Anolis sagrei: one gene and its partner. The protein of the gene in region 1 purifies or fractionates together with the protein of each later gene. This does not show direct contact. Links are inferred from orthologs where the notes say so. Each region holds a gene or a part of one and is shown on either strand. Other genes may lie near its edges.

Evidence for each region.
Region 2: the proteins of CDK8 (region 1) and MED12L purify together in Homo sapiens (affinity purification with mass spectrometry; 3 studies listed by BioGRID and IntAct, counting the BioPlex papers as one, with this or other methods). This does not show direct contact. The link is inferred for Anolis sagrei from reciprocal best matches to the Homo sapiens genes CDK8 and MED12L.

The regions. Positions count from the first base shown.
Region 1 is NC_090023.1:30,600,415-30,608,124, forward strand, and holds the start of CDK8 (cyclin-dependent kinase 8), read left to right. Parts: upstream 1-4,703; 5' UTR 4,704-5,039; coding exon 5,040-5,173; intron 5,174-7,710.
Region 2 is NC_090023.1:241,542,643-241,550,645, forward strand, and holds the start of MED12L (mediator of RNA polymerase II transcription subunit 12-like protein), read left to right. Parts: upstream 1-5,000; 5' UTR 5,001-5,194; coding exon 5,195-5,293; intron 5,294-8,003. UniProt on the Homo sapiens protein: May be a component of the Mediator complex, a coactivator involved in the regulated transcription of nearly all RNA polymerase II-dependent genes.

The sequences.
Region 1 (7,710 bases):
AAATATTATATATAAAATTACTCTCAGGCTATGCGAATCTGTTATATATGAAACATAAATGAATTTCGCATTTGGGCATGGGCTGCACCTCTGAGATAAGCATTATGTATATTTAAGTATTCCAAAATAAAAAAAATAAATCTGAAATGTGGACTATTTCATTTTGGATAAGGGATGCTCAACCTGAAAGATCTGAACCAAAGTGGAAAACGACGTCTTCTCTCACAATTTTTGGGCCACAACTCCCACAATTCCATTTAACAGATGGCCTTTCAAGGCAATCTCTGTCCTCAGTTTGCACTTCCGTTCCATTCCACACTGTTACCCTTCCGGAATGTGTTTCCATGGGGATGGAGCCACAAACCCCAAAGATCTCAGTTCCTATCATGCTCCAGTCTCTGACTTCTACCGCTGGAATGTCATCAAGCCAGGCTTCAAACTCTAGGTCCCATCAGGCACCAAAACAATCCAGAGACCCTTAACTCCAGCTTCCTTTTAAAAAATAATGACAACTTTTCACTACATTAAATAAAAATCTAGGAGAAGAAATATGACTTTCAACGTTATCAGCTGCTATAATTGCATATATTTAATATAATTAAATGGCTGCAACTTTCACTGCTCCAAACTACAGTTCCCAACATGCACCAAAATTACCCAGACACCCTTACCCACAACTTCCTTTTTAATATTTTCCTGTAAAATATAATTACAAGTTTTCACTACAGTGAAATACTCTAGAAAACAAAGGAAAATATTACTTGCAACCTCTAAACGTTTTCCTTGTAACAAATAATTATAACCTTTCACCACATTAAAAACAATCCAGATTTTCTTTCTTTTTAAAAAATGACTTACAACCTCCTTGTCATCATCTCTTGTTGATACATCAATTCTACGGCAACAACTTCCAACCTTTTGTATTTTTTTCCTTTTAAAAATAAGTTTTCACTCCATTGAAAGAATCCAGAAAATAAAGAAACATGTTGCAATCTTTTAACTTTCACTACATTAAAACATCAAGACATAAAAAATGGTTTGCAATTTTCTAATCAGCATCTATTATTGCAAAGACATCTTCCAATCTTTTTTCTTTTTTGAATTTTTGATTTTCCACTACATTAAAAGAATTTACAAGATAAAGAAAAAAATGTACTTTTAACCTAATTAACAGCTATGGGTCCTTTCAGACAGGCCCTATAGTATCTCAAGAGAAGCTCGGCTTGTCATTGAACATCGAGAAAACCAAAGTGCTCTTCCAGCAGTCACCAGTCAATACCTCTCCAATGGCGTAACTTAGAAAATGTTGATCATTTCCGCTACCTTGGCAGCCACCACTCCACAAAAGTCAACACTGACACTGAAATTCAACACCGCCTGAGCTCTGAGAGTGCAGCATTTTTCTGCATGAAGCAGAGTGTGTTCGAGGACCGGGACATCCATAGGGATACCAAGGTACTTGTTTATAAAGCTATTGTCCTCCCAACCCTGCTATATGCCTGCAAAACATGGACTGACTACAGATGTCACATGCAACTCCTGGAACGATACCATCAGTGCTACCTCTGGAAAATCCTGCAAATCTCTTGGGAAGGCAAGCGGACAAATGTCAGCGTGCAGGAAGAAGCAAAGATCACAAGCATTGAAGTGATGGCCCTCCGCCATCAACTCCGCTGGACTGGCCATGTTGTCTGGATGCCTGACCACCCAAAGCAGTTGCTGTATTCCGAACTCAAGAACAGAAAAAGGAATGTTGGAAGACATTTAAAGATGGGCTCAAAGCCAACCCTATGCGGTCAGTGGTTCCCTTGATGTATGACAAGAACACTTTTCCTCTGGGTGGATCTTCATCTTTACTCTCGTGGCTTGTTCTCGGTCTTGCAGCTCTTCTGATGTCTGAGGTGGAGTATCCATTGGCCTGGAGAGCACAGTTGAGGTGGTTCAGTTCATCTTGAAGGAGGTGGGGTTCGCAGATTCTTTTTGCACTGTCTGCCAAGGCTTTAATTGGTGCTTCTTTTTTGACTTGTGTATTTATTTCTCGTGTCAGGGCAGCCAGTCAATTATATTACATTTCTAACAGAACAAAGCAAACAAACAGAGAAAATACAAAATGTGTGAGTTTGGTAGTTGATTAAATGTCCTTTGATCAGTATCTGGCCACTTGGAGCGCTTCTGGTGTTGCTGCAAGAAGGTCCTCCATTGTGCATGTGGCTGGGCTCAGGGTGCATTGCAGCAGGTGGTCAGTTGTTTGCTCCTCTCCACACTTGCATGTCGAGGATTCCACTTTGTAGCCCCATTTCTGAAGGTTGGCTCTGCATCTTGTGGTGCCAGAGCGCAGTCTGTTCAGCACCTTCCAAGTCGCCCAGTCCTCTGTGTGACCAGGGGGGAGTCTCTCATTTGGTATCAGCCATTGGTTGAGGTTCTGGGTTTGAGCCTGCCACTTTTGGACTCTCGCTTGCTGAGGTGTTCCAGCGAGTGTCTCTGTAGATCTTAGAAAACTATGTCTGGATTTAAATCGTTGACGTGCTGGCTGATATCCAAACAGGGGATGAGCTGGAGATGTCTCTGCCTTGGTCCTTTCACTATTGGCTGCCACTTCCCGGCGGATGTCAGGTGATGCGATACCGGCTAGACAGTGTAATTTCTCCAGTGGTGTAGGGCGCAGACACCCCGTGATAATGCGGCATGTCTCATTAAGAGCCACATCCACTGTTTTAGTGTGGTGAGATGTGTTCCACACTGGGCATGCATACTCAGCAGCAGAGTAGCACAGCGCAAGGGCAGATGTCTTCACTGTATCTGGTTGTGACCCCCAGGTTGTGCCAGTCAGCTTTGGTATGATATTGTTTCTAGCATCCACTTTTTGCTTGATGTTCAGGCAATGCTTCTTGTAGGTAAGAGCACGGTCCAGAGTGACTCCCAGGTATTTGGGTGTGCTGCAATGCTCCAGTGGGGTTCCTTCCCAGGTGATCTTCAGAGCTCAGGATGCTTCTCTGTTCTTGAGATGACTTGGGTGATGGTTGGAGTTTTTATGTAGATATCTATCTCTGTGTGTGGGTTTTCTGTAAATGTGTGTATGTGTGTTGGTATGGAGGAGACGTGGTTTTAAAAAGGGATTTTTCAGAGATTTCCCCAATGCCCATATGTCATGATTTACTGCCATATTGGCCTATTTCTGCAGTAGGCCTATATTCACAGAAAATGCTGATTGTTTGAGAAATCAATGCTCCAAAGAAGTTAGTATTCAAGGATAACAGTATATCTGGACAAATCCAGCTAGCTGTTGGCTAGTTAGAACCCCCAAGTTTCCCAGTCACTCTGAAGCCATGTTTGCAACAGGCTAACAGATAAGGTACAGTCATGGTCAGAGAACAATGGACCATATTTATGATATAGTTGTGCCATTGTTAGGATCCCACGTGTGCTATAATGTCAATCAAAATCATAAACAAATAATGAACAACTGCATAGCTAGCTTAGACCAATGAAATGATTTGTCTTTGGGAACCAATGAAAATGTATATTATATTTACTATAAATGCTCTACAGCCCCATTGGGGTTGCGACAAACCCTTTGATTGCATCCCTGTATGCTTGTTTGTCGTTATTGCTATGGCCACGCAATAATAAATAGGTTTTTTTTGCAGTTTAAAGGATTCAACTTTTGTGGTGTCCATCCTTGCCCTCCCTACTGGAAAGGGGGCTTCTGCCTTTTGGGAAATACTGGGTTGTTGTAGGTTTTTCCGGGCTATATGGCCATGTTCTGGAGGCAATTTTTCTCCTGACGTTTCGCCTGCATCTATGGCAAGCATCCTCAGAGGTAGTGAGGTCTGTTGGAAGTAGGGAAAATGGGTTTATATATCTGTGGAATGACCAGGGTAATGTTTCAGCTGATCACCTTGATTAGCATTCAATGGCCTGGAAGCGCCTGGGGGGAATCTCTTGTTGAGAGTGAATTGATGTGCTTGATTGTTTCCTCTCTGTTGTTTTGCTGTTGTAATTTTTGAGTTTTTTAATACTCTTAGCCAGATTTTGTTCATCTTTATGGTTTCCTCCTTTCTGTTGAAATTGTCCACTTGCTTGTGGATTTCAATGGCTTCTCTGTGTAGCCTGACATTTTGGTTGTTGGTGTGGTCCAGCATTTCTGTGTTCTCAAATAATATGCTGTGTCCAGGTTGGTTCATCAGGTGCTCTGCTATGGCTGACTTCTCTGGTTGAAGTAGTCTGCAGTGCCTTTCATGTTCCTTGATGCGTGTCTGGGCAATGCTGCATTTGGTGGTGCCTATGTAGACTTTTGGAAAATATTTTGGTTTCGTTGCCCTTACAGGTATGCAATTTTACCTAACTTTTTGCTGTGGGAGGGGCTGCAGACCATTAGGAGATTTTTTTGCCTTGATATTCTGTGATATAGGGCTGTGTGGACTAAGCCCCCTTCCACACAGTTGAATAAAATCCCACATTTTCTGCTTTGAACTGGAATATATGGCAGTGTGGACTCTGATATCCCAGTTCAAAGCAGATATTGTGAGATCTTCTGCCTTGGTATTCTGTGTGGAAGGGACCAAGCAAACTCCACTTTGCATCTTTCTCTCCGCGTGGTGCATGCTGGGGAAAGTGCTTCACTGGAGGGGCGTGGCCTAAAAGGCCGGTCGGCTTCCACGTGGTGCCGAAGGAGTGAGGAGAGGGGAGGGGCGACTTTACGACAGCGCTCTCCTTTTGCGGCAGTGCCGTATTCCGAGGAGCGAGATACCGGCTCTTGTGGCGCTTGGGGGTCTCTCTTCAGCCGGCTGAGGGAACAAGAAGGAGGAGGAGGAGAAGGAAGAGGAGGAGGAGGACTAAAGAGGAGGAGGAAAGAGGCCGCGGCCCCCTCAGCCTCCGCACCCTTGGGCCTTTTTTCCTTCCTAGCAACGCCGCCGCCCTTTCCTCCCTCCCTCCCTTCCTCTCACCTGGATGGTCCGCGTCGCGGGGCCTCCTCCTCTTCCTCCTCCTCCTCCTCCTCCCCGGTTCCTGAGGCGAAGGCCAGGAGTCCAGGCCTCTGAATGAAGATGGACTATGACTTCAAGGTGAAGCTGACCGGGGAGCGCGAGCGAGTGGAGGACCTCTTCGAGTACGAGGGCTGCAAGGTGGGCAGGGGCACCTACGGGCACGTCTACAAGGCCAAGCGGAAGGACGGGTGAGTGAGTGAGTCGGGCCAGCAGCCTTCTTCCCGGGGTGGAGGCCTGGATGGCCATCCCATGGCCGCCTTGTTTCCATCTAGAGACAGGCATGGGCCAATTTGGGCCCTCCAGGTGCCTTGGACTCCAACTCCCATCATTCCTAACAGCCTCAGGCCTCTTCCTTTCCCCCCTCAGCCAATTTGGGACCTCCAGGTGTTTTGGACTCCAACTCCCACCATTCCTAACAGACTCAGGACCTTTCCTTTTCTCCTCAGCCAAATTGGACTTTCCAGGTGTTTTGGACTTCAACTCCCACCATTCCTAACAGCCTCAGGCCCCTTCCTTTTCCCCCTCAGCCGCTTATGCGGCTGAGGGGGAAAAGGAAAGGGCCTGAGGCTGTTAGGAATGGGTCCTGAGTCCACACTCCCATATATTCCGGTTCAAAGCAAAAAATGTGGAAGGGGCCTTAATTAAATACAAAGCAAATGGAGTTGGGCCTAGCTTATCCGTCTGAACATAGCTCTCCTTATGAACCATCCAGGAATCTAAGATCCTCTGGGGAGGCCCTGCTCTCAGTCCTGCCTTCTTATACATATCTGTATAAATAAAAATATAATGTTCGTTTGTGGGGTTAACAGAACTCAAAAACCACTGCACGGATTGGCACCAAATTTGGACACAATACATCTACTACCCCAAGGAGTGGCCATCACTCAAAAAGCATGGGTTTTGTCATTTGGGATTTGTAGTTCTTGGGATTTACAGTTCACCTACAATCAAAGAGCATTCTGAACCCCACCAATGATGGAATTGAACCAAAGATGACACACAGGACTCCCACAACCAGCAGAAAATTCTGGAAGGGGTTGGTGGGCATAGACCGTGAGTTTGGGGTTTTTAGTTCACCTACATCCAGAGAGCACTGTGGACTCAAACAATGAAGGATCTAGATCAAACTTGCCACAAATACTCCATATGCCCAAATGTGAACACTGGTGGAGTTTGGGGGAAATAGACCTTGACATTTGGGAGCTGTCGTTGCCGGGATTTATAGTTTTTATTGTACTTATATTTTAATGTGTAATGGTGATGCACTATGCTGTTTTGTATATTACTGTATATGAAAACATGTTGTGAACCAGACTGAGTCCCTCCTTGGAGGTGAGAAGACCGGTATGTAAAACTTCTAAATAAATAAATAAATAAATATAAAACTTCTAAATAAATAGTTCACCTACAATTAAGAGCATTCTGAACCCCACAAACGACAGAATTGGGGCAAATTTCCCACACAGAACCCCCATGACCAACAGAAAATACTTAAGGCCATCCAGACTAACTCTCTTCACCAGGGCAAGAAAATCTAATCAAAGCCCTCCTGACAAAGAGACATTCAGCCATAGATATAGATATATATGATTCACACACAGAGAGATATAATATCCTAGATGTGAAAGGGACCCCTAAAGAAGGACAATAATATGTTGCATGTTCCAGAATGGGCAAATCAGATACTCTCCACTTCAACACTGACAAAGAAACAGCAAGAAATACTGTTTACCCACAAGCAGAAAGACATTACATATATTAGAAACCATTACTTTATTTTCCAGATCACCAGACTGGGCAACAGCAACGCGTGGCAGGGGACAGCTAGTAATATAATAATAACTTTATTTTTATACTCTGCCAACCATCTCCCCTAGGGGACTCGGGGCAGCTTAAAGGGACACGCCCAAGATTACAATTGAAACACACATGTAAAACAATTTAACCATTCAAAACATCAAATAAAACAAATAGCGACACAATTGAAAGCAATATCAAAAACAATACGGCTGCAAGAAACATAACTGAGGTACAGATTCAATGAGTGCAATACATTTTTACAGGAGTGCAGGAAAGTGCAAAAATACAGTCAACTGGGCAGGAAATACTGTCATAAAGCACATTGAGGTAGAACGTATGCCAGTGTAAAATGCGGGCCGGTGTAAAGTGTGGAACTTCAAGTAGAGACAAGAAAGTTACTGGTGAGCTGCTTAGTTCACAGATTCGTTTGGCGGGGACGAGAGACAGGGCCTTTTCAGCGGTGGTCCCTCGGCTGTGGAACGCCCTCCCTAGGGACATTAGATCTGCCCCCACCCTCTTAATATTTCGCAAAAAAGTTAAAACCTGTTTTTTTGAGCAGGCTTTCTCAAATGCAGTGTAGCAGACAAACCCTGATCTCGGAACGACTGGACAATGCAATTGGAGAATTATTTTGGTAATGAGATGCAGAGGATCTATGTTTTTATCAGTTTTATTATTTACTGAATTTTATTTATTTATTTAAAACATTTATATTCTGCCCTTCTCACCCCCAAGGGGACTCAGGGTGGGGCACAGCATATATATGGCAAACATTCACTGCCGGGACACAAATTCTTATATACATACATAAACATTAAAAACATTTATCAAAATTTTAAAGTACACCATTTAAAACAGTCCTAGTCGTCCACATCAAATCTAATTTTCCTGGTCATCTTTCCTATTGCCACTTTATTGCCCTGTC
Region 2 (8,003 bases), about 210 Mb from region 1:
CGCTGCTTCCTGGCTTCGAACCTGCAACCTTTCGGTCAACAAGTTTAGCAGCTCAGAGGTTTAACTCACTGTGCCAGACATTTAAATCCCAAAACTATATTCACATGTAAATGACACCTATGTGAGCCAAGCCTTTCTGAAGTACTGGGTTGCTGTATGTTTTTCAGGCTGTATGACCATGTTCTAGAAGCATTCTTTCCTGATGTTTCGCCTGCATCTATGATAGGCATCCTCAGAGGTTGTGAGGTCTGTTGGACCTCTTTGGGAAGGTCCAGGGTGGGAGAAAGAACTCTTGACTGTTGGAGGTAGGTGTGAAAGTTTCAACTGGCCATCTTGATTAGCATTTAATGGCCTAGCAGTTTTCAAGGTCTGGCTTCTTACTGCCTGGGGAAATCCTTTGTTGAAAGGTGATTAGCTGTTCCTGGTGGTTTCTTGTCTGGAGTTCCCATTTTTGAATGTTCTTTATTTAATAGTGTCTTGATGTATTGATGTATTGTCATTGTGGTTATTTTGCTTAATTGTTTTGATTTGCTTTGTTTATTGTTGTGTTATGTTTTCTATTGTATTGTGTTTTGAGGCTTCGGCCTGTGTAAGCCGCATCGAGTCCTTCGGGAGATGCTAGCGGGGTACAAATAAAGTTAATAATAATAATAATAATAATATTTACTCTTATTATTTTAGAGTTTTTTAAAATACTGGTAGTCAGATTTTATTCATTTTCATGGTTTATTCCTTTCTGTTGAAATTGTCCACATGTTTGTGGATTTCAATGGGTTGTGTAGTTTGACATGGTAGTTGTTAGAGTGGCCCAGCATTTCTGTGTTCTCAAATAATATGCTGTGTCCAGGTTGATTCATCAGTACTGCTGACAGGTCAATGGTTCGAATCTGGGGAGAGCGGGTTGAGCTCCCTCTAGTTCTCCATGTGGGGACATGAGAAAAGCCACCCACAAGAATAGTAATAACATCAAACATCCGGGCGTCCCCTGGGCAATGTCCTTGCAGATGGCCAATTCTCTCACACCAGAAGCGACTTGCAGTTTCTCAAGTCACTCCTGACATGGAAAAATAAAGTATGGTGATATAGTATTACTGTAGTTAGGCTTATTTTAATAGTAACTCTCAAGCAACCAGAAACTTAGCACCAACCAATCCACATGGATTCTGGTTAATTGAGAGTTTACTGTACACACACAGAGATCATCATCATCCATTATCAGTGTCTGGGTTAAACATTAATGGCCACACTACCTTTTATACTTTGTGGGGAATGAGCCCCGAACGATGATCAAGGGTCTGGAGAACAAGCCCTATGAGAAGCGGTTTAAAGAGCTGGCCATGTTTAGCCTGAAGAAGAGAAGGCTGAGAGGAGACATGATACCCATGTGAATAGAAGTCAATGGGAGGAGGGAACAAGCTTGTTTTCTGCAGCCCTAGGATGCGGAACAATGGCTTCAAATTACAAGAAAGGAGATTCCACCTGAACATTAGGAAGAACTTCCTGACTGTGAGAGCTGTTCGGCAGTGGAACTCTCTGCCCCGGAGCGTGGTGGAGGCTCCTTCTTTGGAGGCTTTTAAAGAGTGGCTGGATGGCCATCTGTCGGGGGTGCTTTGAATGTAATTTCCCTGCTTCTTGGCAGGGGGTTGGACTGGATGGCCCATGAGGACTCTTCCACCTCTATGATTCTATGATTCTGTGAACCTATTATCCACCTACAGAGATGCGCACTCATCCTAATCTGTTTCTCACAGTTGTTTCTTTGGACTGACATGGATTTTCAGGTGGTGAAAATATATGAATGGTTTGAAACAAGCACATATCACACTGATTCCCCAGTATAGGCACTTCATTAAGCTCAGTCAGTTATGTGGCTTAGTTCTTCTATAATTTAACAATACCATTGCACTTAAGAGCAGGCAGGTCTTTTAAACACTCTCTGGGAGCAATTTATAGATGAAACGAAAATCTATCTCTAGGCCATGTTAGCAACTCTGGGTATAAAACTGGGTGAGCTAGTTCTTTCTGATTCAGACAGTGTGGCTATGATCCTGTGTATTCGAGAGTGTTTGTAGAACATTGTGTACTGTTTCCCTTCTCAACTGGGATATAAAATTCTCACAACATTATCCCACAGGGACCATCTCATGGGGAGGATGTTGCTGCTGCCAATGGAATCACATCTTTGACAGAAGATTATATTGATAGTGATGACAATAACAACACAGTGAGCCCTCAGTATCTGCTCAGGATGGTTCTAGGACCCCTATGGAGACCAACATCTGTGGATGCTCAAATCCCATTACATACAGCAGTGCAGTAAGAGAGCATCCCTTATATAAAATAGCAAACACTGTAGAATTAATGCACTTTGTGATTACAGTACTTTATCTGCCAGGGCCAAGTGTTATAGAATCATAGAAACTTGTTTGTTTAGGAACCAACACACTGGCAAAAAAACCAACAACCTTAAAGTCCTTGTAAAACTATAACTCCCATGTCTCCAAAGCATTGCATTAATTCCACAGTGTAGGCTGTTATGAATTGTGGGAGCTGAAGTCCAAAACACCTGGAGGGCCAAAGTTTGCGCATGCTTAGTATAGATGCAGCCTGATGATCCATGAAATGGTAAGAGATAACAGCAGGGCATGTATACACATCAATGTAGTGCTCAAAAGTGCAACAAAATCAAAGTTTGCTTTTTGGATTATTTCCCCTCCAAAATATTTCCAAGTTATGAGTGGTCCAATCTGTGGATGCAGAATCTAAGAGATGACTACCATATGAAGAACAATTAAGATAAACATGATCATATTAATACAGTAGACTTTCCGTTAACCGGAACTCTCAAACAACTGACAAAAAATGAAGAAATAATACTGTGCTTTAACTAAAAATTAAGACCCTCCAGTGGTGCAGTGGGTTAAATCACAGAGCTGCTGAACTTGCTGACTGACAGGTCAGCAGTTTGAATCCAGGGAGTGGGAAGGTCCACTCCGCTCCAGTGGGAAGGTAACAGTGCTGCATGCAGTCATGCCAGCCACATGACCTTGGAGGAAATGTTACATCAAGGAGGTGTTTCTGTGTTATGTTATGTTTAGGTAAAGGTAAAGGTTTCCCCTGACATTAAGTCTAGTCGTGTCCGACTCTGGGGTGGGAGAGGAGTGGTGCTCATCTCCATTTCTAAGTCAAAGAGCTGGTATTGTCCATAGATACCTCCAAGGTCATGTGGCCAGCATGACTGTATGGAGCACCCTTACCTTCCCACAAAAGTAGTACCTATTGATCTACTCACATTTGCATGTTTTTCGAACTGCTAAGTTAGCAGAAACTGAACCTAACAGTGGGAGCTCACAACCTTTCGGTCAGCAAGTTCAACAGCTCAACGGTTTAACCTGATGCACTACCAGCGGGCCTGTGTTATGTTTATTTAAGTTTAATTTTTGGGTTTTATTTTGATAGTTTTATAATTTTATGTTGAGATTTTTATCCACTGTTTTGATTTATTGTTTGTTTGTTTTTGGCACTGAATGTTTGCCACTTTGATACTTTTGCTGGAAACTGCCCTGAGTCCCTTTGGGGAGATGGGGTGGGTTATAAATAAAGTATTATTTTATTATTATTATTTATTTTTAATTACTGCATTTCAATATCAATAACAAGCCAATCCAGAGTTTATGATATAGTATATTAGTTAGGCCGATTTTTAATAATAACTCTCAAGCAACCAGAAACTGCACTTATCCAGCATCTACCAATCCCCCCTGGGTGCCAGTTAACCTAGTCTACTGTGTTGTTGTTGTTATTGTTGTTCTTGTTATTTTGGATTTAATTACTGCATTTCAACCTCAATGTCAAGCCAACCCAGAGTTTATGATATAGTATAATATTAGTTAGGCTGCTTTTTAATAGTAACTCTCAAGCAACCAGAAGCTACATTTATCCTGCATCTACCAATCCCCCTGGATTCCAGTTAACCTAGTCTATTACATTATTATTATTATTATTATTATTATTATTAGTTTTTAATTACTGCATTTCAATATCAATATCAAGCCAAGCCAGAGTTTATGATATAGTAAAATATCAGTTAGGCTGCTTTTTAATAGTAACTCTCAAGCAACCAGAAACTACATTTATTCGGCATCTATTAATCCCCTTGGGTGCCAGTTAACCGACTCTACTGTATTATTATTATTATTATTATGTTTTAAATTATTGAATTTCAACATCAATATCAAGCCAAGCCAGAGTTTATGATATAGTATAATATTAGTTAGGCTGCTTTTTAATAGTAACTCTCAAGCAACCAGAAATTGCATTTATCCAGCACCTACTGATCCCTCTGGGTGCCAGTTAACCTACTCTACTGTGTTGTTGTTATTATTTTGTTTTAATTACTGCATTTCAACATCAATATCAAGCCAAGCCAGAGTTTATGATATAGTATAATATTAGCTAGGCTGATTTTTAATAGTAACTCTCAAGCATCCGGAAACTACATTTATCCAGCATCTATTAATCCCCTTGGGTGCCAGTTAACCGAGTCTATTGCATTATTATTATTATTATTATTCGTTTTTAATATCAATATCAGTTAGGCTGATTTTTAATAGTAACTCTCAAGCAACCAGAAACTGCCTTTATCCGGCATCTATTAATCCCCTTGGGTGCTAGTTAACTGAGTCTACTGTATTAATAATGACAAAGCTTGCAGTGAAACTTGGCCTAGGTTGAAAGAGCGGAACGCTTGCAGCTGCAGGGAGAGGAGGGAATAAGATGTTCTCTCCCTCTGTATGTAGGTCCCCTTCCCCTAGGTACACCCCCCTCCCCAGAACATTGTATACAATGTGTTCCTTTCCTCCCCCTCCTTTCTCTTTCTTCTTCACTTGCTGCTGGGCACTTCTGTGGGGGTGGCATCCTTAGCCTCCGTGGGTGGGTGGGTTGGGTTGCATTGGTGCAGCAGCATCCCAGCCCTTGCCCCCCTCCCTCCCTCCCTCTGTGCCTGCCGTCTTCCCTGTAGGGGGAAAAAAGAGCCAGAGGGGGAAGCCAGCTTGTCTGTCTATCTCTCTCTCTCTCTGCCTGTCTATCTGTCTGCCAGCCAAGTGCTGCTCCCTGGTGCTCAGAGCCTGCTCCATCTCTCCAACTCTCTCTTCTCTCTCTCTCTCATTCATTTCGCCGGCTAACATGCAAGATCATGGCCGCCTTCGGGCTCCTGAGCTATGAGCAGAGACCCCTCAAGCGGTCCCGCTTGGGCCCCCCCGACGTCTACCCGCAGGACCCCAAGCAGAAGGAGGTGAGAGACCCCTGCTTTTGGAGACCCCTCTCCTTCCTCCTCCTCCTCTCCCGGCCTGGGGCGCACCTGGCTGGCTGGCACCTGAGAAAGGAAGGGGGAGGGAGGGAGGGAGGCAATCTTAAAGGGAGGGGCAATGGGAAGATGGAGGGGTGTGTGTGTGTGGGGGGGGGGGGGCTGCCCAGTGAGCCCCCCCCCCCCGAAGGGCGCTGCTTCTAGCATGGGAGCCATTCTGCATGACTTTGGCAGCAGGGCGCCCTCGTGGGTGGGTGAGTGGCTGGGTGAGCTGCATGCCTCTCTATGGGTCTGACGCACTCCCCGCCCCCTCTTCCATCTTCTCTCTTTCCCCACCCCCCTTTTTACCCCGAAACTTTTGAAATATGCCAACGTCGGGAGAGAAAGGCACTCTTCCCCTCCACAAAGGTGGCAGCCCTTTTGGGCAAGGAGGGGAAAGCCCTTTGACACTTTGGGAGGGGGGATACTTGGAGACTCCCCCCCCCTTTTCTCCCTTACACATGTGGGAAACTGACCTTGGTTCCTCATTCCCTCCCTTTGACAGGACTGTATTGAACTAGGCATTCTCTGAGCAGGTAGCCTTACTACACAAACTCCATGGACTAATTAACTTAAAAACATGGGGAGACGTCAGCCAAGGGTCCTGTTTTCTAAATGCACCACTCAAAGCAGACAACTTTAAGGATCTCTTTGTCATTATGACACGTTGAGTATCCTTTATCCGGAATCCCAAAATACTCCCAAATTGTTCACATAGGTGGCTGAGAGAGTGGCATCTCTGCTTTTGTATAGTTCAGCATATACATTAGGCTCTCAGTTCACCAGCATCCATGGGGACTGGTAGGTGCCAGATTAATGTTGTTTCTTGTTGCTTGAAAGTCCCTCTTAGATTTAGACCATGCCATAAATCAGTGTTTCTCAACCTCCTTAATGCCATGACCCCTTAATACAGTTCCTCTTTTGTGGTGTCCCCCAACCATAACATTATTTTCCTTGCTACTTCGTAACTATAATTTTGCTACTGTTATGAATCGTGCAAATTTCTGATATATAGGATGTATTTTCATTCACTGGACCATATTTGGCACAAATACCCAATACACCCAAATTACAAAACTAGTGGAGTTGTGGGGGTGGGGTTTAATGTTGTTATTTGGGAGTGATATTTGCTGGGATTTATCAAAGAGCATTCTGAACTCCACCAAAGAGGGAATTGAACCAAACTTGGCACACATAACTCCCATGACCAACAAAAAATACTGGAAGGGTTTGGTGGGCATTGACCTTTGTGTTTAGGAGTTGTAGTTCACCTACATCCAGAGAGCACTGTGGACTCAAAACAGTGATGGATCTGGACCAAACTTGGCACAAATACTCAATATGCCCAAATGTGTACATTGGTGGAGTTCGGAGAAAATAGACATTGACATTTGGGAGTTGTAGTTGCTGGGATTAATAGTTGAGTTATAATCAAAGAGCATTCTGAACCCCATCAACGAGAGAATTGGGCCAAACTTCCCACATAGAACCCCTATAACCCACAGAAAATACTGTGTTTTCTGATGGTCATTGGAGACCCCTCTGACATCCCCTCATGACTCCTCAGGTTGAGAAACATTGCCATAAATGCTTCTTGATTTGATATTTAATATTGAAACACAGTAATTCAAAGCAAATTCAGGCAAACTTAACATAGAATCATGGAGTTGGAAGACACCGCATGGTCATCCAGTCAAACCCCCACCATGCAGGTAAAGCACAATCAACATTGGGTTGCTGTGAGTTTTCTGAGCTGTATGGCCATGTTCCAGAAGCATTTTCTCCTAATGTTTCACCCACATCTATGGCAGGCATAATCAAAGGTTGTGAGATCTGTTGGAAACTAGGCAAGTGAGGTTTATATATCTCTGAAATACCCAGGGTGGGAGAAAGAACTCCTGTCTGCTTGAGGCAAGTGTGAATGTTGCAGTTGGCTACTTTGATTAGCATTTAATGGCCTCAGGCAATCAACATGCCAGAAAGATAGCCATCCATCCTCTGCTTAAAAGCCTCCATGGCAGGAGCCTCCAACATACTCCAAGGCAGTATAAAACATGTATTTAAATTGTTATGTAAAGTATTATTTCCTTGAAGTTTTGGCATGTTACTTGAGACTTCCAGTTTTTAAAGTTTCAATTAGCCAAGAGTCTGCTATATTCCAAAACTGACAATTTAGAGGGCTGAGATAGTGGCACCTTTGCTTTTGGATAGTTACGCATATACACACTTTCTTTCATGCACAGAATGATAAAAAATATTATATGAATGTACCTTCAGGCTATGCATTTGAATCAAGCATTCGTTCTGTATTTGGGTCCCATCTCCAAGATAAGTCATGATGAATGTGTATGCAAATACATGTAAACCAAAATCTGGGGGGCAAGTCTGAAATGCAATGCATTCCTGGTTCCAAGTATTCTCCAAGCAGGTAGTGCCAGTCACTGACTAGTTGGCTTGGAAAGTGGGAAGATGCTAGCAAAAGGTCCTGATTTGTTTTACAACATATCACTGAAACTTTTAGTACTTGTTTGTTATTACAGGTTGAGCATCCCTCATCCAGAATTCCAAAACACTCCAGTATTGTCTATATGGGTGTCCAGTGGAGTTGCACCTCTGTTTTCTAATAGTTTAAAATACACAATTTTTCTTTATGCACAAA